Linked DNA regions of Pelodiscus sinensis. The protein of the gene in region 1 purifies or fractionates together with the protein of each later gene. This does not show direct contact. Links are inferred from orthologs where the notes say so. Each region holds a gene or a part of one and is shown on either strand. Other genes may lie near its edges. The genes, in order: CTTNBP2NL and STK24.

Region 1 (12,410 bases):
AAATATTTTTATTAAGTCTGAAGTCTACTACACTTTTAAGACAGCAATCAAAAGTTCACAGATTAAACAAACAAAACTGCTTATTGCTTGTCTAAAAGTAAACTTCCTCTTAGCTGTGTTATACTTTTTTCAGCAGAAACATATTTTTATACTTGAAAGCAACATTTCTTATAGTACATTTTGTTCTAAGCCTGTCAATGTTTCCCTTAAAATAACCTGTACAGAATTTAACATAAAATATGCACAAAATAGTAAAACAAAATTTCAAAATAAATAACTAAACACCATCTTGCAGCTGAATCTGAAACTTTTAAAATTAAGACTTAAATATCCTGAGCAAGCACTGTTGGGAGGAAAGGATGGAGTAGGTTACCAAATAATATGAATATTTCATTATATTTAATCATGCACAATACCTGAACAGATTATTTTGAAGGCACTAGGCTATATTCCCCTTGTAGCCATGAATGTAAATGTGAAGCTATTTAAAAGAGGTCCTCAGCATAAGAGAAGAATCTAGTCCATTGATCCCAATAGAGCTTGATGACATACTTGAGGACTCCAAAGGCATCAGTGTTCCTCTCAGAAAAGAGTCTAACCACACCACTTCTGAAAAGCACATATCGCAGAATACGTAATGGGAGTTCTGTATACGTAAGGATTTGACTCATGTGTCTTGTGCTTCTCCTTGCAACATTTTAAGCAGAACAGAAGTGGGCATTTTCCTTTAATGATTGGGGCTACTTCCTGTTCTTTCAGATGCTATGGCTACAAATATGCTGGTTGTTCAACAATGCTTCTGTGTCTACAGCTCTCAACAAGCCTCATTTTAATTCTTCATAGATGAAAAAGGGCTGATATTTTCAGAAGTTCATAGGCATTCAGATACCATAAAAAATCTAAAAAGCTGGTATGGAAATCAGCAAAATAAAAAACATGCTGCAGTATACCTACTAGGGATATAAAATTCTGCTTAACAAGTTAACCGATTAAACATTAAGTTTAATTGGTTAACAGATTAAATGGGAGTGGCCTGGAACATCCTCCCTCCCCACCCTTCACAGGCAGTGCCTGCTCCAGCCCAGCTGCTTCTGGCCCCATGCATGGCTGGAGTAGCCCATGGCTCAAACAGGCTGTTTTCTGAGTACAGGTTAACTGTTACCCAGGAAGCATCAGGATAACCGGTTAACTGGTTACCCGTTAACATCCCTAATACATACAAAGTTGCATCTGTGCTTTCAGTTACATTATTCAAAAACAGGCATACTACTCTCTCTAACTTCTTGTCTTTCCTCAAACGTATTATTAGGCAGTACGCCAAAACCACAACAGAGAATTAAGCTAAAATGAGTAGAATTTGAGGATTTTATTGGAGGGAAAGGGATGGTGGAAGGCAACCTAAAAGCTAAACGAAGCAACTCTTTCCCCAAAATAAAATATTTCCCACAAAAAGTTCTTAAAATGTTCTTTTAACTACTATATTAACAAAATCATCTCTAACCCTTGTGTACAAAATCCTTCAGCTAAAGCACTGGATGGCAAAACTCTTTACTTCATTTAAGAAAAAGCAAATCACCTATCCATTTCTGCTACCCCATAATCTCTATTCAATGCTGTTCTAAAGATCTAAGAGAAGACTAATGACTAAAAGCCAAATACACACCTACAATTAAGCTACCTTCAAATTAAGATGCTCTGTACAGACACACGAGGATTTTTTTCTGGCTTGCAACCAGTTAAGACCAAAATGTTTTAAAAATGTACAACAGAAGCATGTTTGTATTTAAAAATGACTGATCAGACATTTCTGGGGTCACTCATCTCATGTTAGAGAGCTCTCTTCTGAAAATGAATGTTTTTTCAAGCTCTTTATCCAATCCATATGTCTGCTTGCCTCCCCCCCGCCGTGAGTGTGTGTGTAGGTATGTATGCGCGCGCACGTGTGTGTATATATATATTCACACACATACATACATACACACACACACAGCCTGACACTTAAGTTATAAGTACCTTCAACAACTGAATTCAGATGCATTCGGCAACGTATGGGACAAGGGTCTATGTTTCTAGCGCTAATGTTTGCAAAAATGTGTGGTTTACATTTCAAAGGTTGAAATTTTGTCTTCCTGAGTCTGTACATAGAAAGCCCCAGTAAAGCCTGTTGCTGCTGGAAGCCTTGCTGAGCAACAAGAGAGTATTTAATAAGACCATGGTCATTTTCATTGAAGACCAGAGGATTCTGAATACAAGTTGAACCTCTCTAATCTGGCATCCTTGGGACCTGACCGGTACCAGATAGGTATGTACAAAATTTTAAAGTTATTAACCATGTAACTGATAGAAATTCTATGTTACATGGTTAACCATGGCTCCTGGGGGATTGCCACAGCTCCCAGGGCTCCGCAGAGGCTCTTAGGGCTGCCGGGACTGCTATGGCTCCTGGTATGAAGAATTTAAACAGTGCCAGCAACCAATAAACACTTATCGGTTAACCAGGTACCTGGTTAAATTCTTACATCTCTAGTGCCAAACCATGGGAGGTTAATATTGCCTTGCACAGTGGTTCTAAAACTGTGGTCTGCCGCTTGAGCTCAGCTCCCCCTGCTTCCACCCTCTCTCTTACCACAGCAGGGAGCCCATGCAGGCGTTCCAGCCTCGTGTTCCAGCCTCTCGCACCCCCTTTTCCTCTGGCAAGGTTAGATCACCAGCAGTGGTTTCACTTGGGGAATAGGAGGAAAGTGAGACTTCAGTCTCCTCGCTGGTCCTGCCTTATGGGGAAGAAGTGGAGCGATGCAGAGCCAGAAGTTGGGGAAACAGCAGCGCACTGATGTGCTGCCTGGAGGCTTTCCCCGCTAATCCTGGGAAATCCAGCTGATGGGAGCAGCAGGAAGACATGCCCAAGACACTATGCCTGTGAGCAGTGTGGGGTGTGAAAGCAAGTAAGTGACCCCACTGCCCCTTCATGCCCAGACCCCACACCTCTACCCTGCTCCTGCACTGCCCCTCGCCAAAACTCCTTATCCCCAAGCTGCTCCTGCACTCTCCCTCGTGGACACACACCCTACTCCCTGCCTGATCCTGCACCCCACCTCCTGCCCAGACTTCGCATTCTTACCCCCTCCTGCAGCCCACCTCCCACCCAGATCCTGGACTCTCACCCCTATCCCACTCATTGAGAGCTTTGTCCCACACACTGAATCCCTCATTTTTGTTCCCACCCCAGAGCCTAGGAGGGTCAAAAATCCCCTAACCCTGAAAACCCAGAAGAGTAAAGCCGGCCCATGGAAAGCCCTGAACCTTAGTTCTCCCTGTTCCTCCATGGTGCTGGAGCAGCAGAGGAGTGAGGTGTTTCATTTAGGGGTCACATCAGTGACGGTTGGGGGGGTTTTGGAGGAGTTTTTTGCTTCTCACTTTTGTGGTTCCCAACTGATTTTTCTGTGGGTCTATGGCCCCTGATCCAAGGTTCCCCACCCATGTTATAAATAAAGAAAACATTGAAACTTTTTGTGTTGGACATAAATTAATATTTTACTATTTAAAATGAAGTTTGATAAACATGAGAAAGTTAAAGAGCTTAATCTATTTAATATTTCCTTTCTTACTGGTTAAATTAAACCATTTTCCCTAGCAGCAGCACTAACAAAATGACTTGAGCAAAATTATGTAATTAACGGTGAGTTTCCATTAGCAACTGGTGGTCCACGGAAAGGCTTACATTAAGCCAGGGCAGCATTACCAACACTTCCACTGCTTACTGGGCTCTTAGAAGACATTTAGGGGGTAAATTAGAGCTAAAGAACAGCACAGAGCACAGAACCAGGTCCAGTGGTTTCAAACAAACTTTATAGGATGCAGGAAACCTGGTCACACCTATGCTAAGTGGGCATCAGGCTAACTAAAAATCACATCAGACCACGGATGTTGCCAGACCAGAGTGCTGGTTTAGAGAGATTCAACCTGTAACAGCAGAGAAACTCAAGATTCAGGTTAACTTCAATCTACTACTTACGAAAATTGAACTGGATGTAAAGGGTCATACCTGTAGCATAAAACCTGCTACACAAGGCAGTAGTCCCTGTGTTCCTCACAAAAGAGGACCATGCATAAAAGCAGACTAGTCAAGAGTAGTGTGGCTACTTTATTTCCTCACTTTCTTGCAGCAGCCAGGATCCTGAAGCAATATACTCCTCTTCCTTTTTAGTGGGAGTTCTGGGTTTCTCACAGAAGCATTGCTTCAGGAGTTGGCCCACTGGTCCATGGAGAGGGCTTCCCCACTCTTGCCTTTTGTATAAACCTCTCACTATGAGGCTTAGTTTTAAGGCTAGTTAGTGTACAGTAAATTTTTGAGACCTAATTAGATATATTTCTTTTCCTTATTCCGTCAGCAATTCCCTGACAGATACTCTTCATGCCTCTTTCTTCCACTAAGAAAAGGGAATTTTTAGACCTAATTTCAGTGCTGGTCTGTGAAATAGCCAGCAATGGTGTCAGATAGAACCTGAGCAAGCCAGCACTCCATCTATTACAGACCAAGGATGTAAAATTTCATGACATCCATGGGTCCCCTGAATCAGAGTCTGTTCTCAAAGAATTCAAACAGTGGTCCATGAATATTGTGCACACAGACCAGATTGTGAGACTTGGAAGCACTTAAAAAAGAATAAAAAATGACTGATCTACATATTTAAAAAAGCTGACTGTGGATTTCTCATCAAATCCACAGCCCCCGAAAAGGTTTAATAAATAAGCAACAGTCCACCTATCCTTTATCTCCCCAAATTCAAGTTTCAGTAACACGTGAACAAAGAATTGCCAGGAAAATCCACAAAACTATAGTTTTTCTAAACACACATAAATTATCAACCTTTTAACTTTTGCTTCAGAATGCAAATTATAGATAAGAAAAAAGGCAAACATCTTCAGGTTTTTTTTAAACAAAGACTATTAAATGTCTACCTAATACATTAGAGACAGACTCTTTAGAAAAAGCTTGGAATATAACAGCTTTAAGTTAGATGTTTTTATTTTGTTTTACACGAGGAAAGAACAATTTTACTGTTTTAAAGCCCTGATAATCCCCCTGTGAATGGCTAGCCCCCGTCAATTTTACTGCAAATTGAGAGATATGCAATGACCATTTTGGCATCTCTATTCACAATGTCGTGTGACTATGCAGGTCAAGAAACTGCCACCTGTGTGTCCCTGTCTTGCTTTACTAATAGCTGTTGAGCTTAACTTTCATGTTAATTTTTCTCTGCCTCTTTCCTTTACCATGGTGAGGACAGTGCCAGTTCCGCATCTTATATCTTCCAAGATAACAAGCCTTTGTTTGCTTTCTTATTAGTTTGCTTCTCATTTCTATTCATGGAATACTATTATGCAACCTTTGATGATTTTTAACTCTTAGCTGCTGGTGGAGACCTGCCAGGTAGGAACCCACTTCCTGCTAAAGACATTAAGAACTTTTATCTGTTATTAGTGACACAATGTGGGCGAAATATTTTTCAACCTCACCCTCCTTATTTCTGCATCATCCTGGGACCAACACTGCATATTCTGGTTTATAACACTCAGGATTTCAAAGACTATAACCAGCCTTGATCAGAGAAATTTTCCTCTACATTATCTAGTTTTTCAGCCTACCCATGTCCATCTCATTGTTATGAACTTAAGGAGGAGGTGGATGACAGTAGAGGGATCAGCTGATGATTACCTGTTCTACTTCCTCTGGGGCATCTGCCATTGCCACTGTTGGGAGACAGAATACTGGGCTAGATGGACATTTGGTCTGACCCAGTACGGCCGTTCTTATGTAGGAAGCACACAACTCGGTCTGCAGAATTCCTCTCTTAATTGCATCCCACGGGAAACCCTTTTGAATAAACACGGTTCTCTTCCGCCCCTTTAGATAAAAAAAGGGAGGGGGAGGGGGAAGAGAATCTGGATCTGGATTTCTAACGCTCCAGTCATCTGAAGAAGTGGGCTGCGCCCACGAAAGCTCACGCTCCCATGGGCGGGTTTTGTTACTCTTTAAGATGCTACTAGGCTGTGTGTTGTTTTTTCCCTTTCCCCTGTTACAGACTAACTCGGCCCCCTCTGCCCTGTAGATACTGATGGGCAGTGCTTCCCTCCATTCTGCGCTCTCCTTTCAAACCCGTTTGTGTTTACACACACTCCCCCCCCCCCCCACCTGGCAGGAGTTAGCTCGCACGCCCGGCGCTCCCCGTGCTCTCAGTATTAACACAGCCACACAGCAGCGAACACTTCCCGCGGGCGCGGTGCACGCGGCGGGGCGCGCTTTCCGCCCGACTTGGGGGGGGGGCGTCCTTCTTCCCGCCGTGCCCCCGTCCAAGCTCGCAGCCAGCGGACGGACACGTCGGGGCCCAGCCCCCCGCGGGTCCGGAGCGGGCAGGGGGAGCGCGGGCGCGGCCAGAGCCCGAGGCGACCCCCCCCCCGGCTAGCGGGGCGGGCGGGGGCGCTAGAGCTGCCGTCCCGGGCCCGGCACCTGGCGCGAGCTGCGCAACACGGCGCGCGCCAGGCGGCCCGAGCGCCCCCCCCCCCCCATTTTGGGGCGCGTGAGCGCCCAACCGGCACAACGGTCACCCGCCCCCCCCTCCGCAGCCCCGCCCCTTCTGAACCCCCGCGCGCGGGACTCCGGGAGGGGGAAGCAGCGCCCCCCAACGACACTGACCTGCCCCGGCCCCGTCCAGCTCCGCACCCTGCCGCGCTACCACCCGGCCAGGCTCGTCGGCCCGGCCCCGCTCGGCGACCGACGCTCGCGCCCGCCAATCGCCGATCACCCCGACCCGGGCCGGCAGCCAATCCGCGAGCGAAAGGGCGGGGCGGAGCGGGGAAGCCGGTCGCCGGCGGCGCCGCTAGCCAATCAGGGCGCGGTGCTGGGGACGGAGGGGCGGGGCGCGGGGGCTGAAAATCCCTTTTGTTCGCAGTGCTGGAGGGAGAGTGAGGAGCCGTGATTTACACGTCACTTCCGGGGCTGGAATCTGAGCGCGGGTGCAGAGAGCTGCTGGCCCTCTAGGGGGAGCTGTTCCCAGAGCTTGCAGTTTGGATGGGGGGGGGGCTGTCCCCACACCCGGGGGGGGGGGGGGGCAAGAAAAGGGGGTCTGGGAGCTCCCCCTTCTCCTCCCATACCGGCTGGAGGCAGGGCACAGGGCCCCCTGAGCTTCCCCTTCCTCATGCCCCAGCCTGGGACAGGGCAAAGTGGGAGGTGGGGGGCTCTCTGCTCTTGCCTCCAGTCTGGAGAAGCCCCCCCCCCCCAAAAAAAGCACCCTCCAACCCTGGTGCTATTTCTCACGCACCTGGCTGGCCGCTGCAGCTCTTTCTGCATCTAGTTCAATTTCTGCTGCACAGCTATGGTGAAATACTTGCCACAAGGCCTCCAACACACACTTTTTAAAAAGCTGTCCCTGGTCCCATAAGGGTAGCAGAGTTAGATGGTAACTGGAAAAACGTAAGAAAAAACAAATAGTCTAGTAGCACCTTAAAGAATGTGTAGATGGTATCATGAGCCCATGGGCACAACCCACTTTAAGCTCATGATACCATCTACCTGTTTTGTTAGTCTTTGAGGTGCTGCAAGACGATTAGTTGTTTTTTAAGTTTTTTCCTGGTGCTGGTGTTTGCTTACCCTGTGCCATAGATATCAGAAATGGAGCTGACAGTGGGCATGGTCCTTTATGCTGGCTGTGCTTGCCAGGTTCCATCCAGCCAGTGAAGGAAAGAAACCTGATTGGTAGTAGATGGTGTGAATAGAACACCAATGCAAGATAGTGCACATCTCTTCCTGAGGGGTTGTTTTCTTGAAACTTCAAACTAACGGCCAACCTCCAAATGGTTTTGTTATTTCTGTCAGTTTCAGTGCTATCAGATTTTGTAGTCAAGCCCATCTTTAGACTCTAAGCTTTTTAGCACAGGGAGCATCTTGGCTTTTTGAGGTGCATAGCAAAATAGGATCTCAATCATGGTTGGGCCATCTGTGTAGTAAGTAAATCCATTTCTTCAGGTCTGAATATTGGTGACATTGTAGCAGAATTTTCAGAAGCCTTCATGATCCATCACTAATTTTTAGTGTGCAGCAGCTGTTCCTTCATTGATCTGCTGCACACCATTCATCAATCTCCTTGCTTGTTGTCCCGTACTAGCATGATCCTCTATCATTCCTTCCATAATAACTTTTCCAAGTTTCCATCTCTACGGCTCTGTAAGCAAAATACATAAGTTTTCAGCTGTTGCTTTCTGACATCGGGGTCTGCTTCTCTCAAAAAGATTTCTAATGTAGACATTCATCTTTTTTCCATCCGAGAGACAGCAAGAGTAATTTCCAGCATAATATTCCAAAAGCTTCAGTTTTCTTCTTGTCAGCAACAGCAGCATTAATTTACCATGATTCATATCTCTAAGTCATTATAGAAAAAATGATGCATTTCACCAGTCATACCTGCGCACATTTTGAAATGCTATGTTTTTTCCATGCTTTCTTAAGAGAGGCTGTACTTGAGCACATCTTCTTGGGAACAAATCCCCTTGCTTTGATATACTGTATATCAAAACAAGGAGGCTTCTGTATTTATTTCCTTATAGCTTCTCTGCCAATTGTGATATCTGCTTGGTACTATTTAATACAAATACAAGACAGAATCCTGTTACTTTGCACCCCTCAAATCCTACCTCTTCCACAGGTTCACTTTGTGATGGTAGGCAAGTCAAAATTTCCATGGCTCAGTTTTCTCATCAGTAAAATGATAATAATGATTCTACTTCACTCCCATATAATGCTTTTCATAGCATAATAATACCTGCTGCAGTGAATGTTGTAAAGCTTAATTAATATTTGAAAAGTGTCTTCAGATCCTAAACAAGCCATGGACATAAGATAAGGGGAAAAAAAGTAGTAACTCACATTCCCAGGCCTTTTAATCTTTAAAGCATTTCACAAATCTTTAAACGTGTTCACAAATCTTTAAACGTGTTATTATGGTAATGCATTATTATTGGAAAGAAAATTTTGTTTTCATGTTTACACAGAATAATGTAACTATTTCAGAAGTGAAGAAAATTAATAATGACAGTGACAACAGAAAAAAACTGCCTTCACTGTCAGCAGCATCTTTCCTGTTTTTTTAAAACATCTGTTATGAAAATATGACCTCTCTAATAGCAAAGCAGTGCAGAGGCCAATGCAAAATCTGTATTTTTGACAAACCCTAATTCTAATCGGAAGAGCACATGACAAAGTGAAAGCAAAATGAGATGAAAGGTTAGTAAGATCTGTCTGTTTAGTCCTTGGAGCAAACCACTCTATCACTGGAGTTTAAGCCTTTCTTTCTATCACATTAATAGATTCCCCAGAGAGACAGAGAGAGAGTTTACATGGATGCTGTTGTTGTTATTCTTCTACTCCAGAATGGTTTTCGTGTAAGATAAGAAACTTGTTCTGATGAAATCACACACTCCATGAGCTGCTTTGCAGCTTGGGCTGATTTTATTATTGTGATTATTATTACTATTTACCACTAGAAGATTTACCTGGCATTGATCAAGTCCTTAACTCAATTTTTGTTTTTTGGGAAATAATATGAAAATGTACATGCTTCATTGAAATAATTGCCCTGGGCTGGCACTGGGGATGAGGGATTCAGTATGCAGGTTGCCCCAGGAAGAGAGGACTATCCCAGCTCTCTCTCATTGCTGCTGGGGCAGGTCCAGGTTGGACTGTGGGAGGGCACAGAAGGACCACATGTCCCGCAGCAGCAGCAGTTTTGGGATAGCTCTAGGTTGGGTGCTATAACTGGGCGGGGAGGCCCCTCCTCCACTTGCCCCAGCAAGGAGCAGATGTGTGTGTGGAGGGGGAAGGTGAAGCACTCCCTCCCATGACTCCAGTGCTGAGCTGCCACAACTGGGGAGGAGGCACAGACACCCCTCTCCTCCCCAGCCCAGAATGGAATTGCTGCAGCAGCTCTGTGCTGGAGCTGGCAGGCAGATGTGGCACTCTGCATACCTGCCCTGAGCTCCTGCCCTCCCTGAGCCCGCCCTGAACATTTGCTCAGTTCGGTCAGTTTTGAGGACTGTACTGGATTTGGTGATTCTGTCTCTTTTCTGTTTGGTTTTATGAGGAGAAATCCCATTCCAGGCACATCCCACTGTCTTGGCACAACCAAACCTTGGTCTTGCTTTAAGTTATGATAAGAGGAAGTTGCATAGCAAATTTGGTGGTCCTAGCTCTTAGTGTTTAGGACAGTGGTCCCCAACGCGGTGCCATTTATGTGCGCCCGCGGAGCAATCTGGGCTGGCCCTGGCCCCGCCCCCGGGCGTGCGGCAGGTGCCAGCCCCGGGCGCATGGGCCGCCCCTACCCTGGGGTCACGGCGCATGCCAGTGCCGGCCCCGTGCATGCAGCACCTGGGTGGCCTCTGCCCGGGGTTGCGGCACATGCCGGTGCCGGCCCCAGGCGTGCAGCGCATGCTTGGCCCCACCCCCAGGCACTTGGCCCGTGAGCGGCCCCACCCCCATACGTGCAGCGCATGAGCGGTCCCGCCCCCAGGCGCCCGGCAGTCCCAAAACGTTGGGGACCACTGGTTTAGGAGGAGTTCTTAAACAAACGGACTCATGGACAGATGGACAGACAGATGCACAAACTCTCTCCAGTGTATGGTGAGACAATCCCTACCCAAACCTCAAAATTAGAACAAGAGAAACAAAGCTTTTGTCTAAAAAAGGACAATTTAGAAATTGCTTTAAGCAGCAATTTTGGTTGCAAAGTGAACAACTGCAGTAAACCAGTGACTGATCCTTTTTTCCTTTTATTTTTAATGAGAAATGTGTTTGAGCAAACAGGTCCTACAGAGAAAGGGATAAATCTTCTGCTGTTTTAAACATATAGCTTGGCTGAAGTTGATGGAACTATGCTTTTTTACAGCTCCTCAAGGACCCTGGGGCTCTAGCTTTTCTTTATTAACTTTGGAAGTAAATAACTATATTCTTATTTATATTACATTAGTGCTTAAATCCTAGCTATGATGCTGCTGTGCTAGATGCTGTACATTCACAGGCTATGTCTACACTGCCCCCTCTTGTGCAAAAAATATGCAAATGAGGCAATGGGAGGAATATCGCTGCGCCTCATTTGCATAATCAACGAGGCTCCATTTTTGCGCAAGAGGCTTTTGCGCAAAAACCCCTCTTGCACAAGAGTCGTTCATCCTGAAAAAAAGAGGAAGAAAGGCTCTTGCACAAGAGGGGATTTTTGTGCAAAAAGGAGACATGTAGACGGCTCCTTTTTGCGCAAAAGCCTCTTGTGCAAAAACTGAGCCTAATTAATTATGCAAATGAGGCATGGTGATATTCCTCCCATTGCCTCATTTGCATATTTTTTTGCACAAGAGGGGGCAGTGTAGACATAGCCACAGAGTCCCATCCCTGCCTTACAGGCCCTTTGAGACAAAGGGTGGGAGAAAGGAAGATTATCCCCATTTTACAAATGGAGAACTGAGGCACAGAGAGATGAATTGTCTTGACCAAGCTTGCACAGGGAGTTTGTGGCAGAGATGGAGATTTTCTTGGTGTCAAGCCTAGCACATTCATCACAGGTCATTCTTTTTGGCAGCATCAACTTTCCTCAAACAATGAGGCTCAAGACCAGTGTTTCTCAAAGTGGTCCACGAAACCACTTTGAGAAACCTGCTAATTGGCCGGTGTAGTGTGTTTATTTACCAGCTCCACTGTCATGGAGGCTCATGGCTCCCTTTGGCTCCAGTCTGCTGTTTGCAGCCAAGGGAAGCCACGGGGAACTGGAGCCAATGGGAGCCGTGAGGTTCCGTGGCCATGGAGCCAGTAAATAAACAACCCACACCGGCCAATTAGCAGGTTTTGCTCAGACCTGCAAGAAAGACCCAGTTATCACCAGTTGCGGGGGTTTTTTTGCGGGGGGGGGGGAAGAGGAGAGTGAGCCATCTGAAAAGATGTAGTTGTACAAAGAAGCTGACGTAAAACCTCAGGATTAAGTTTGTTTCTTATTTTCCCTGCAAATCACACTATGGCATTTAATGATATTGGTGCACCAAGCGTTTACTTGGAAAGGGGTTTATTGTATGTGCAGTGTGACTTATCTTGATGGTAAATCTGATGATGACTCAAACTTCTCATGATTCTTGATGCTGTACAAACACTGAATGACGCAGGTGTTGAGACAGGTATTTTGCAGATGGGTAATAGGAAAACAAGCATGTTTAAAGTTTTCTTACCCAGAACCACATGGAAAATAGAACCTATGGGTGCTCCTGGACTGCCATTTTAACCCATATACCTCATTGCCTCCTTATTGAGAGCAGTGGTCTCCTTGATTGATGAGTTGATTGTCTAGCCCTTTGTTCTCTGAGGAATGGGGGTTACTGCC
Region 2 (12,276 bases), on another chromosome or scaffold:
TGAATGTGTGCATGAAGCTGGATTTGATCAGTTATGATGTAAGCTTTAAAAAATGTGCAGCAGAAGTCTCATTAAATAAAATATTGAGTACAATGTTTCATTTATGCTATTAATCATGATTATCAATAAATATTAAGTTGTATATTTTCAGTCATGCAAATGAGCAATCTTATATGGCTCTTTATTGGCCACTTGTTCTGAATTTTGATGTAGGTTTGAAAAGGTTGCTGACCCCCATCTAGATATATTGCATCTACTGCTTCCCCACATATATAAGGCTTGCTATCCTGTCAAAGAAGGATATTCAGTTGGTTTGACACAATTACTTCTTTACAAAGCCATGTTGACCGTCAGGAGCTGGAACAGCTCTGCTCCAGTCCACCCGGGAGCCCACCACAGACAAGGGCTGCTTCAACCATCTGAAGTAGCCTCTGTCCACAGTAAGTCTTGGTGTACCTGCAGTGCTGGGGGGGAAGAGGAGGCTCTCCAACCCACCCCCTTTAACGGATTAGCCAATTAAATGTGATTTTTACATCACTAGTTAACTTTTCACCTTTTTATCTTCCAGACGCTTACAAACTGATTGCTTGATTATTTGCTCCATTTTCTTTCTGGTTACTAAATTACACTGACTGGTCTATAATTCTCTGAGCTGTTCTATTCCCTTGTTGATAGATAGGTTCTATATTTGCCCTTTTCCAGTCTTCTGAGATATCTCCTCTACTCCATGGGTACTCAGATTATATATTTACTAATGGCTCCGAGATCTCTCAGCCAGTAGTACTATGTGAATATGTCAAGTATCAGAGGGGTAGCCGTGTTAGTCTGAATCTGCAAAAGCAGTGAGGAGTCCTGTGGCACCTTATAGACTAACCGAAGTGTTGGAGCATAAGCTTTCATGGGCAAAGACCCACTTCGTGACATGCATCTGACGAAGTGGGTCTTTGCCCACAAAAGCTTATGGTCCAACACTTCGGTTAGTCTATAAGGTGCCACAGGACTCCTCGCCACTTTAATATGAATATGATGGATTTCATTAGGCCCTGTTGATACCTAAATTGACTAAGCACTTCTTAACTTATTCTTCCCTAACTTATTCTTCCCTATGTTAGCCTCAGAGCCTACTCCATTCACAATGATTAGTTGTCCAATCAAAGCTAACCTTTTTGGTGAAAATTGAAATAAAAAAGGCATTTAATACTTCAGCTATTGCTGTGTTTTCTGTTTTTGTCTTTCCCTCTTCATTGAATAACGGACCTTGGTCTTTCTCAAGCTTCTAATGTATTTATAAAATATTTTTGTTACTCTTTATGTCCTTATTTTGTTTAATCTTGTTTTATGTCTTGATCTTTCTAATTATGTCCCCACTTATTTGTGTTGTTTTTTGTATAAATAATTTCTATTTTGAGCTAGTTTCCTCTTTCTTGAAACTCAAAAAAGAATCATTCAGATTTTGGAGATCTTGTCACAGTTCCTCTCTTTCCTACACATTGGGAGAGTTTATTCCTTATTTGTGGTATGTCCACATTATAGAGATTCTATCAGCATAACTGTGTTGTGGTAGCTTCAGGGGGTAGCTCAGTTAGTCTGTTACAGAAAAAAACAACAAATGGTCTGGTAGCACTTTAGGGTATGTCTACACTACCGCCTTAGTTCGAACTAGGGTGGTTAATGTATGCAACCGGAGTTGCAAATGAAGCCCGGGATTTGAATTTCCCGGGCTTCATTTGCATATTGCCGGGCGCCGCTGTTTTTAAATGTCCACTAGTTCGGACTCCGTGCCCGCGGCTACCCGCGGCACGAACTAGGTAGTTTGGACTAGGCTTCCTAGTACTGTGGAACGGGGTGTACCGGTAGTTCGGACTAGGAAGCCTAGTCCGAACTACCTAGTTCGTGCCACGTATAGCCGCGGGCACGGAGTCCGAACTAGCAGACATTTAAAAATGGTGGCGCCCGGCAATATGCAAATGAAGCCTGGGAAATTCAAATCCCGGGCATCATTTCCAACTCCGGTTGCCTACATTAACCACCCTAGTTCGAACTAGGGTGGCGAGTGTAGACATACCCTTATAGACTAACGAAACATGTAGATGGTATCATGTGCCCACCAAAGCTCATGATACCATCTACGTAAGTGGTCTCCAACCTTTTCACACCCAAGATCACTTCTTAAATGACAGAACAAGCCAAGATCTACCACCCCGCCCCTTCCTTGAAGCTCCACCCTCTCTATTCTCCTCCTCTCCATCACTTGCTATCCCCAACCCTTATACCGCTGCTTTTTTCCCCAATTCTTCTGTAGGAAGAGGTTTTTCCAACATTTGGCCTGTCTAGACCGGACCAAATGTCAGAAAAACCCCTTCTTTTGGAAGCCCCCTTATTCCTTGTGGAAAGAGGAATATAGAGGTGACCGAAAGATCATGTTTGCTCTTCCACTAAAAGAAGTGGAAGAACAAATGCATCTGTGGATACAGAAGAGTTTTTCTGGGATATCTCCGGAATCCTGAAAAACTCCTGCAGTCTAGCCGTAACCTTGCTGGGTTGAGACAGAATGTGTAGGCTCTAGAGTGGGAATGAAGGATTTGGGTGTGGGAAGGGGTGAGAGGTGCAAGTTCTGGGAGGAAATCTGGATGTAGGAGAAGGTGGATAAGAGGACACTGGCTTGAGGAGAGGGCGCCAGGCCGGGCAGTGTAGGGTTAGGGTACTAAGCAAGCCACAGACTTCTGGATGTGAGGGTTCAGGAATTTGGGTTGAGGTATGTGAGGGGCTCAGGACAGGGGTTTCCAGTGTATGATAGGCTCCGATGTAGGGTCTGGGGGAAAGGTAAGCGCAGGAGTGTTATGATGCTGTGGCCAGATGGGTTCTTAGCCCCAGTTTGGGGTTTGTTGGCTAGGCTTCATTTTTAAATCAAATAGTGTATCAAACAAAAAGTTTCTGCATTTTCTTTATTTCTCAGAAGGGCAGGGAACCTTTCTTGAGTCAGGGGTCATTGACCCAAGAAAAGTCAGTTGGGGCCACACAAGTGAGATGCAAAAAAACCCTCCTTCACCCCCCCTAAGCTTCACTAATGTGGTCCCAACTGTGTTGGTGGGAACAGGGGACATAGTACTGGGGAAGGGTGCTAGTGGGTGCTTTGGCAGGGGACAGGGTGCCAGTGGGGACAGGGTTCTGTGGATCGGGACAGGGGAATGGGGACAGAGTTCAAAAAGTGGGGATGGGAATTGGGACAGAGTTCGGTAGCTGGGGAGAGGGAACTGGGCAGTGGGGAGTGGGAATGGGGCAATGGGAACAGGAGGAGGGGGGCAGTGGAAGCAGAGAGTCCCCTGCATCTGCCACCTCCCAGGATTCTCCCCCCCCCCCCCCCCCCACGGGAAGCCAGCATGTGCCTCCTCGGGGCCCAATTCACACGCTCCCCCGGCGCAGGGAAGTCCTGCGTGTGCCTGCCCTGGGGTCAACCCCCCCCCCGGCACAGGGAAGCCCTGCGCACAGACCCCCCCCGGCGCAGGGAACCCCCACGCATGCCTACCCCGGGGCCGACCCCCACCCCCCGCGCGCCTGCCCCGGGGCTGACTCACTCCTCCTGTGCGGTGCAGTGAGCCAATGCTCCCTTCCGCAGTACACCTGGCAGAGCAGCTAGCGCACTTCCAGAATCGTCGGAAGTGGCGCTAAGCTGCAGGACTTCTGTCCATCCCAGGGAAGTCGACATTACCTCCATTTTCACTTGAGGTAGGTAGTGGGGCTTCTTGAGGGTGGGAGGGAAATGGGGGCGCGATTGACTGGTCGAGGCCTCATGATCGACCAGTCAATCGCGATCAACCTGTTAGTGACCACGGATCTACATGTTTTGTTAGTCCAGGGGTTCTCAAACTTTGTGATACCACGACCCCCTAAAATGCTAAATGAATGTGTGACACCCCGCACCCTCACCAAAGTTGTTAAGCAAAAAAAAGAAAAAGGGGGGGGGGGGTGGAAGCAAAAGTCGTTAAGCAAAAGTTGCACCACTTTGTCCAGTTTGGGACTGCACCCAGCCCTCCCTGAGCCAGGCCCTCATCCCCCCCCATCCCAGTGCACTCCCCCCTCCACCTGAGGCAGGCCTCCCAGCACCCCCCCATCCCAGTGCACTCCCTCCTCCCTCTGAGAGGCATCCTCAGAGTCCCGGAGCATGCTCCAATCTAATCTCCCCCCCACCACTGCAGAGCCAGGCACGAGGAAACTCTTACTTTCAAAGTGGCTGCTCTTGAAGCCCAGCCCGGCCCGGCCGCCTCAGCTCACAGCATGACTCAGGAGCATCATGTGGCCAGCTGTCGGACTCTGCTGCTCACGTTGGCCAGAGCAGCGCACGCTCTGGCACCCCCCCAACGTGGCGCCTGGTGACTGCTCCCTCCTGCCCCCCTTTCACTAGACTCTGCAGCGCTCCTCACTCCCCGCCCCTGCCATATGAGGCAGGGTAAAATTGCCCCTGCTGGGCTTCTGTCCGGTATTTCATGTTTTTTTTACATGTGGAGAGAGACACATTCTTTCAAGAAAAAAACCGGATCCAGCTGCAACCCCTCTGTAAATTCGTCGTGACCCCACAGGGGTCTAACTGCGTTAGTCTATAAAGTGCTACCAGACCTTTTGTTGTTTTTTTGTGTGTTGTGGTAGCTATGCTATCATAACACCATAATACAGATGCAGCGTACACTGACTGAAAGATTTTCTATTGATATAGAAACATCATCTCCCTGAGTGATGGTGTCATCTCCTATATCTACAGAAGCATTCTTTCAGCAATGCAGGTAAGTCCTACAGTGGAGGTGTGCTTTTCCACATGTGGACAAACAGATCAATTCAATTTTTACATTTAGACCCAGTCTTACAGTGGTGTGAAAGGGAAATCAACTCCTCTGTGTGTGCATGATATCCTCTGCATAGGTGAGGTTATAACAAATGACTGGTGTGATCGGGGCAGCCCGTGCCTATAGGCAAACCTGGCAGCTGCCTAGAGCGCCAAGTTAAATGGGGCGCCAAATTCCCTGCCACTTCCCCTTCCCCCAACGCCTGACTTCAGCACTGGAGGAGGAGTGCGGCTTCCCTGCACCGCAGGAGGGGTGAGTCGGTCCCGGAGGAGGAGCGTGGGGAGTTGGCCCCAGGGGAGGCAATGCGCAGGGGTTCCTTGCACCGTGAGAGGGGGGATCAACCCCGGGGGAACAGGCGCACGTGGGTTTCCCCGCAGTACGGGAGGAGAGGGGTTGGCCCCGGGGTAGGCACGTGCCGGCCTCCCCTGCGCTGCGGAGGGGGTGGGGGGTCGGCCCTGGGAGAGGCACATGTGGGGGTTCTCTGGCTGCAGGGGGGGGGGTCGGCCCTGGGGGAAGCAGTACATAGGGGTTCCCCATGCCGAGGGAGGAGCAGGTCGGCCCCGGGGGAGGAGGCGCACCACAGGAGGGGGGTCGGCCCTGGGGGAGGCAGGCAACAGCTTCCCCTGTGCCGCGGAAGCGAGGGGGGTCGTCCCAGGAGAGGCGTGTGCCAGCTTCCCTCTGGGGGAGGAGGCGGTTGCAGGGGACTCTCTCCCCCCACTGGTACCCTGTTCCCTCTCCCTTTTCCCCAGCCACAGATCTCCATCCCCGGCCCCCTTGGCTCCAGCCACAGAACCAAAAACCTCAGTCTATATCTGCCCTTGGGGTTGGAGGCGCCGATTGCTTGGTTCGCCTAGGATGCCAGTTGCTAGCAGCTAGTCTAGGGCCGCCCCTGGGTGTGATGAAAAAATATTGATAACAGGTCAGAGTTACTCAAATGGCTCATTGGCAGTTCTCTCACTTGCTAGTTGGCAATCTAGAGAAAGAGCTCCCAAGCCAGTGAGGTAAATCCAATGCACATCACTGCAGCATGTCAGATAAAAGGGACCAAATGGCAGTAGGGTGCAGGTTAGCACAATGTCTGGTGTAGGTGTTTTTGCGCATTGTGCTCAGGCTCCAGCCCTAGGCGGATACTCACGACAAGGGAACACTACGCCCTGCCTTCGCCAGTGAGCCCCCCTCAGACACAGGACACTGCCCCAGACACCGCTCCCCAGCCGTCTTCGGGGGCACATGCCCCTCGCGCGCGCGGCCCCGAAGGCCAGACACCGCTCACGCGAGACACCCCCCGCGGGCGCGACCTCCCCTCCCGCGGCGATTCACCGCTGGCAGCTGCAGGGCGGCGGGGATCTGCGCGAGCCCGGACCGGTCACCATCATCCGGGCGCGAAGCCCGGCAAGCGCCTCGTGCCGCTACCGGCATTCGGGGGCGGGGCGAGAGCGCGCGCGCCCCTTGCACGGCGGCCGTTGTCCCTCGCCCGAGCTGGTTTGCGTTACGTTAGCAGCCCCCTCCTCCCCCCTTCGCGCGGGACCGGTAACGACCGCTCTACGCGCGCGGCGCAGGGGAATGGGGAGCTCGGGTTCGACGCTGAGTCTCTGACGGGACCTGAAGCGGGGCGGGGCGAGGAGCGCCAGGGAGCTCCCGCCCGCAGACGCTCGGCGAGTCGTGCGTGGGGGAGGGGGCGAGGAGCTGATTCCAGTCGCTAGAGCCGCCTGAGCAGAGCCCCGAGGAGCGCGCGTCGGCGCCGCCATGACTCAGTCCCCGGTGCAGCCCGGCCTGCGGGAGATGCCGGTGAGACTCTGGCCCCGCCCGGGCGGGGGTTGCGGCATAAACTGCCTGGAGGGGAGGCGTGCGGGCCCCGGCACTGCTGGAAACGCCCGCGGGCGGGGGGGCTGCCAGGTTCCGCCTCTGCGGCCCGTGTGCGGCTGGGGGTCCTCGGGGCGGTCGTGCCGCTGCCGGGAAAAGCCACTTTGCTCTGGCACCGCCCATCAGTGCCCGTGCCCGGGGTGGGGGCGGTCATTGGGAAACAAACGGCTTTGCCAGCGCCTGGCTAAATCAAGGCGGAGGTGCTTGGGCCGTGCGCCTGGCTCCCTTCCTTGCTCCGGGAGAGCCAGAGGCCGCCCGAAGGGGGGGAGGCTCGTTGACTTTGGAAACACAACCCCTCCCTGCAGTGCAAAAGCGTTGCCCTGCAGGATGCGCTTTGGGAGGAGGAGGGGGTGGAGGTTGTTTTGTCATGTGAATTGCTTAGTTAGGGCCGGTATGTGTTTCTGAATAATTGTCAAGGGGCTCATGATCCCTGGGCTAGGCATCCCTGCCTACTTTGTCTGTCTTTGTCTTATTATTAGTTCAAATAAAATAACAAAGCCCTCGCAGAGAAACCTTAAAACTGTCAGTGTTTGTGTATTGTTCTAATTGGACCCCATGTATCTTTAATAGAGCTTGGATGCTACTTCATGACATGCCACTTTGAGGCCCAGCCTTCTTTTTTTATTTCCTTATAACTTCCTCAAATTACCTTTTGGGATTGAAATGTTTTATGCTTGGTGTGGCTTTAAAGTAAATTTATTTCTGGTTAGTGTTTCATCTATCTCATGCACTAATTCAGGTCTTTTTTTTTTGGGGGGGGAGCTAGCATAGCCTAGAGATTTTAATTGAAAATACCCATTCATATATCTATAGAAGACTGTGTACTTGCAAAAGCATAGGGGAAATATTAATGGGAAAGACTTAAACTGTTAACCCTGGCATGTACTACACATGCACAATGTTCTCCCTTCCACCTACAGACAGTGTGCACTCAAATCAGTTGTTGTTGTGACCTGGAGGGCTCCTGACTTTTATGTACTGTGCAAAGTCATCCATCTCCTCTGGAGACCCTTAAAATTACTCATTATTATTCAGAAAAATATGCTTAGGTGTTCCGTATGTCTGGTAATTGTTTAAAACGAGGAAATAAGTTGTAAAATTCTATCTGACTATGTCATGGATTAATTTTAATTAAAAAAGATATGACAGATTTCATTGTATCATGTTTCTTGCAGGAACTGTAATTTAAACCTTTTGAACACATTAGGCTCTGTGGTCGCTAGCTGAATATCTAGTACCCAGTTTTTCAAACACTTAAGGGGGGGAAGAAGGGAATTCCAGCACAACAGGTTGGAGTGGCCCGTTTAATTTGTTAACTGGTTAAAGGTGAAATAAATTTCACCTTTAACCAGTTAACAAATTACACTGTCTTTTAAATCCTTAGTTCTAATGAGCTGCACAAAGTCATTAATCTTTGTCTTTAGAAATGTTAACATATTTGTTTGTAACACTGAAAGCAAGTATTGAGTATCTTTTTCTTTTTATAAATTTAACAGAATATAAAAGCGGATCCAGAAGAACTGTTCACAAAACTGGAGAAAATTGGCAAGGGTTCTTTTGGTGAAGTTTTTAAGGGAATTGACAATTGGACTCAGAAAGTGGTTGCTATAAAAATTATTGATCTAGAAGAAGCAGAAGATGAAATAGAGGACATCCAGCAAGAAATCACAGTTTTGAGTCAGTGTGACAGTCCTTATGTAACCAAGTATTATGGATCCTATTTAAAAGTAAGAATATGCTTTTCTGTGTGTGTTTTACAGTTAAAAATGTTGCTCTACTGATGTCCTTGTCATAAAAAATTGAGGTTGAATAGAAGAATAGTTTTTCAATGGAAGAGGAAATATTTTCTCCCTTTAAACCCTAAAACGAGTGAACTGTTTATAGTTTGTAAAGAGTTTGCTTCCAGACCTACCTGAAGAATAAAATAGTACGTGTCTGTTTTGTCACTTAGTGACAGGAAGAAATGAAACTTTAAGTAACAGACTTGTTACTGGTGACATTCAGGTCTAGCAGTGGTATATTTAGATCAATTTAAACTTAGAATATTTTCACTCTTAGTTTATTGTTCAACTTGAGAATACATTTAAAACATAATAAAAATTGGCATAAAACTACTAGAAACAACTCAGTACCAACTTTTACCACATTTTAACAATTTTGTCACAACAATTTTGTAGAAGTATGCTTTTTAAACATGGAGTTTTGTTTAAACTTTATCCTATTTTTTACCTGAATGGATCAAAAAATTAATTTGCTAACTTGTGACCTATTTGCAGAAGGTGTTTAGTAGAATAGCCTTAAGTAAAGGCTGAGAGATCCTGTTTGGGTTTTGGTTGGTGCTTTGGTTACAAGCTTTACTTATCTCTTGGATTTTATTTTTCTTTGAAAATATCTAGTTTTTTTACAGTAAATCAGCTGCAGTGAGTTTTAATATATCAAGTACAAAAAGGTATTTCTTCTTTGCAGAAAGATTAATGTTTAAGGTTTCTCTAAGGACCCACTTCCAGTAGGACAGTCAATTGTGTACTTCCAGTGGCCTGGCCTTGTTATCCAAGGCAACTTGAGGAAAAAGTCCATCACCAATATTCACTCAGAGGGCATGATACTCTATCACTGTCTTTGGGTGTAGTAAGCCTAAAAAGCATATTGCCGAACAAAATAAACTGGCATCCACTTTTAGTTTCTGAAGTCCCCTCTTGAAATCTCCTGACCAAGTGTTGGTGTTTATGTGAAACAAGTCATTCAGAAAGGGCATTACAGATATTTCTCCTACTGTGAAGGAGAAATCAATCTCTTCCGCATCCTTATTCACAAAGGAAATGTTCCTGATTTCCCTAAAGTTCATTTCTCCAGCAGGTCTGGTGGTAAATATGCTTCAGAGGAAGACTGCAAACATTTAAACTGGTTTTCTTTAACAGCCCCAAATACACATGGTCATATTGTATTGTTATGGATGTAGTTCTTCCCAGTGAGGTTGACAATAAGGTGACACTTCTCTTGAAAACACAGAACTTGATGAGAGAGTCAGGGGGAAAAAAAAGACTGAAATAATGCTGGCAGGAAAAAGGAGCTGTAACTACTTTTTCAGATAAAGGCTTTATTTCTTGTATTGTAGTAGGTACTATCTCTATCTCAGAGTTTACAGTCTCTAAAATGGATGAAGGGTGCCTGACTTTGCAGATTCAAACCTTATTTCTTCACCCAGATAAATTATAGGGTACATTAGGCTAACGTATTCTTACATATTAATATAGAGTTTCATTCTTAAAACTTAAACAACAAATAGTCTAGTAGTGCCTTAAAGACTAACAAAACATGTAGATAGTATCACGAGCTTTTGTGGGCACAACCCACTTTTTCAGATGACAGGAGAGTTAGAAGTCCAGTTCCGAGAATAAATAAAGGAGGAGGAGGGGGGAAGAAGAAGAAGAAGAAAAAAAAAAAGACAGTGAGTAGATAAGGTTCAGAAGAGTAGCTGAATTAGTCTGTAACAGGAACTAAAAAAAAAAAACCAAAACCCCAGATTAGTCTTTAAGGTGCTACTAGATTAATAGTTACTAGAGGCTGATACGAATTGTTAGCATCTTCATTGTTTGTTTTGTTAAGTCATTAAAATATGGAAGATAATGTGCGAGCCATCCAATATCCCGGTTCATACTATTTGCATAAGAATTAAACTTGTGAATGAAATTAAGTTCCAACCTTTTCTGTGTATTTGGCTTGTGGAATTGGTCTAAAACAAAACGGCTACTTGGAGCGTTCAGGAAGATTAAAGTGTTCTCCAACAGGCTTTTGTGTATTGCCCTTTTGGATATCTGATTTGTGTCCATTAATTCTTTCCCGTAGAGACTGTCCAGTTTGGCCAATATACATTGTAGTGGGGCATTGCTGGCATTTGATGGCGTTGATCACATTAGTAAATGTGCAGTTAATTGAGCCTCTGATTTGGTGGCTGATGTGGTTGGATCCAGCGATGAAATTGCTGGTGTAGATGTGTGGGCCGAGTTGGCATCGGGGCTGATTGCAGGGGTGGGTTCCTAAATGATTATGATGGAGTTGTGTTACATGGTTACCGGAAAGAATTTGTTTGAGGTTACGGAGTTGTCTGTAGGCAAGAATTGGTTTCCCCCCCAAGGTCTCTGAGAGTGAGAGGTCATGTTCCAGGATAGGTTGTAGATTGTTGATAATGTATTGGATGGGTTTAAGTTAGGGGCTGTAGGTGATGACAGGTGGAATACTGTTTTCTCTTTTGGACCTGCCTTGAAGTAGTTCATGTCTGGGTATTTTTTTTGGTTCTGTTGATCTGTTTTTTCACTTCTCCGGGTAGGTATTTCAGTTTTAAGAATCCTCTATAGGTCTTTGTCTCTGTGGGATTGGAGCAAATCCAGTTGTATCTTGGGGCTTGGCTGTATACAATAGATTGAGAAATATGTCTGGGATGGACGCTAGAGGCATGAAGATAAAGTGTAGCAGTCAGTAGGCTTCCAGTAAAAGGTGGTGGAAATTTGTCTATCATTTAATTGTACTGTAGTGTCAAGGAAGTGGATTTCTTGTGTGGACTGATGCAGGCTGAGGTTGATGGTGGGGTGAAAGTTGAAGAGTTTCACAGGGATTTCAACAAGGGTCTCTTTCCTGTGGGACCATATGATGATGTCATTGATGTAGCATAAGTAGAGTAAGAGCGTTAGGGGGTGAGAGTTGAGGAGACATTGTTCAAAGTCAGCCATAAAGACGTGGGCATATTGTGGTGCCAGGCGTGAGCCCATGGCTGTGCCACTAACTTGAAGTTATCTTTGGCCTGAGCCATTACTTCCATGTTCTTGTGGTGTACCTTGAGTGTTACAGGTATATTCCAGGATCTTGTTAAACATTAAATTCTCGGTTCAGCTCACAGAGGCAAAAGGGTAACTAATAGCTCTTTTATATATGCCATGGGTTATAAATACTTATGCTAATTTCCTCTAGATAATCTATAGGTTCCTTGGATTACAACCAAATATAATGAAATAATATTCACTGAACTATAAACCAAAATACAGGTTGAATTTCTCTAGTCTGGCAGGCACCCTTCGGACCTGACTGGTGCCGAACCACAGAATTTGCTGAACCGTGAGAGGTCAATATTGTCTAGCAGTATTACTAACACCTCCACTGCTTAGTTGGCTCTTAAAAGACATTGAGGGGTAAATTAGAACTAAATAACAGCACAGAACACTGGACTGGGGGTTGTGAACAAACTTTGTGAGGCTGCAGGAAACTTGGTCACACCCATGATAAATGGACATCTGGCTAAGTAAAATCATGCTAGACCACAGATATTGCCTGACTAGAGAGGTTCAACCTGTAATATAATCAAACCAATCAAGAAAAATAGATTATACAATATAGCAACATGGCAAGCTAGTCATATGGGCTACAGTTCGCCAACACAAACTTACGTGGAGGCAAAAAAATACTGAGTAGAAATAGGAAGGTGGTGTTATTGTTGTAGATAGCATTAGTGAGACCAAAAGTGGCGTACTGTATCCAGTATTGGTGTCTACAATTTTTCCTACATTATTTTGTAATTGTTAAG

What was found.
Region 2: the proteins of CTTNBP2NL (region 1) and STK24 purify together in Homo sapiens (affinity purification with mass spectrometry; 3 studies listed by BioGRID and IntAct, with this or other methods). This does not show direct contact. The link is inferred for Pelodiscus sinensis from reciprocal best matches to the Homo sapiens genes CTTNBP2NL and STK24.

What each region holds. Positions count from the first base shown.
Region 1 is NC_134737.1:2,311,049-2,323,458, forward strand, and holds the start of CTTNBP2NL (CTTNBP2 N-terminal-like protein), read right to left. Parts: upstream 6,058-12,410; 5' UTR 5,747-6,057; coding exon 5,717-5,746; intron 954-5,716; exon of another isoform or gene 417-953; intron 1-416. UniProt on the Homo sapiens protein: Regulates lamellipodial actin dynamics in a CTTN-dependent manner. Associates with core striatin-interacting phosphatase and kinase (STRIPAK) complex to form CTTNBP2NL-STRIPAK complexes.
Region 2 is NC_134711.1:249,512,634-249,524,909, forward strand, and holds the start of STK24 (serine/threonine-protein kinase 24), read left to right. Parts: upstream 1-6,429; 5' UTR 6,430-6,584; coding exon 6,585-6,626; intron 6,627-8,197; coding exon 8,198-8,428; intron 8,429-12,276. UniProt on the Homo sapiens protein: Serine/threonine-protein kinase that acts on both serine and threonine residues and promotes apoptosis in response to stress stimuli and caspase activation.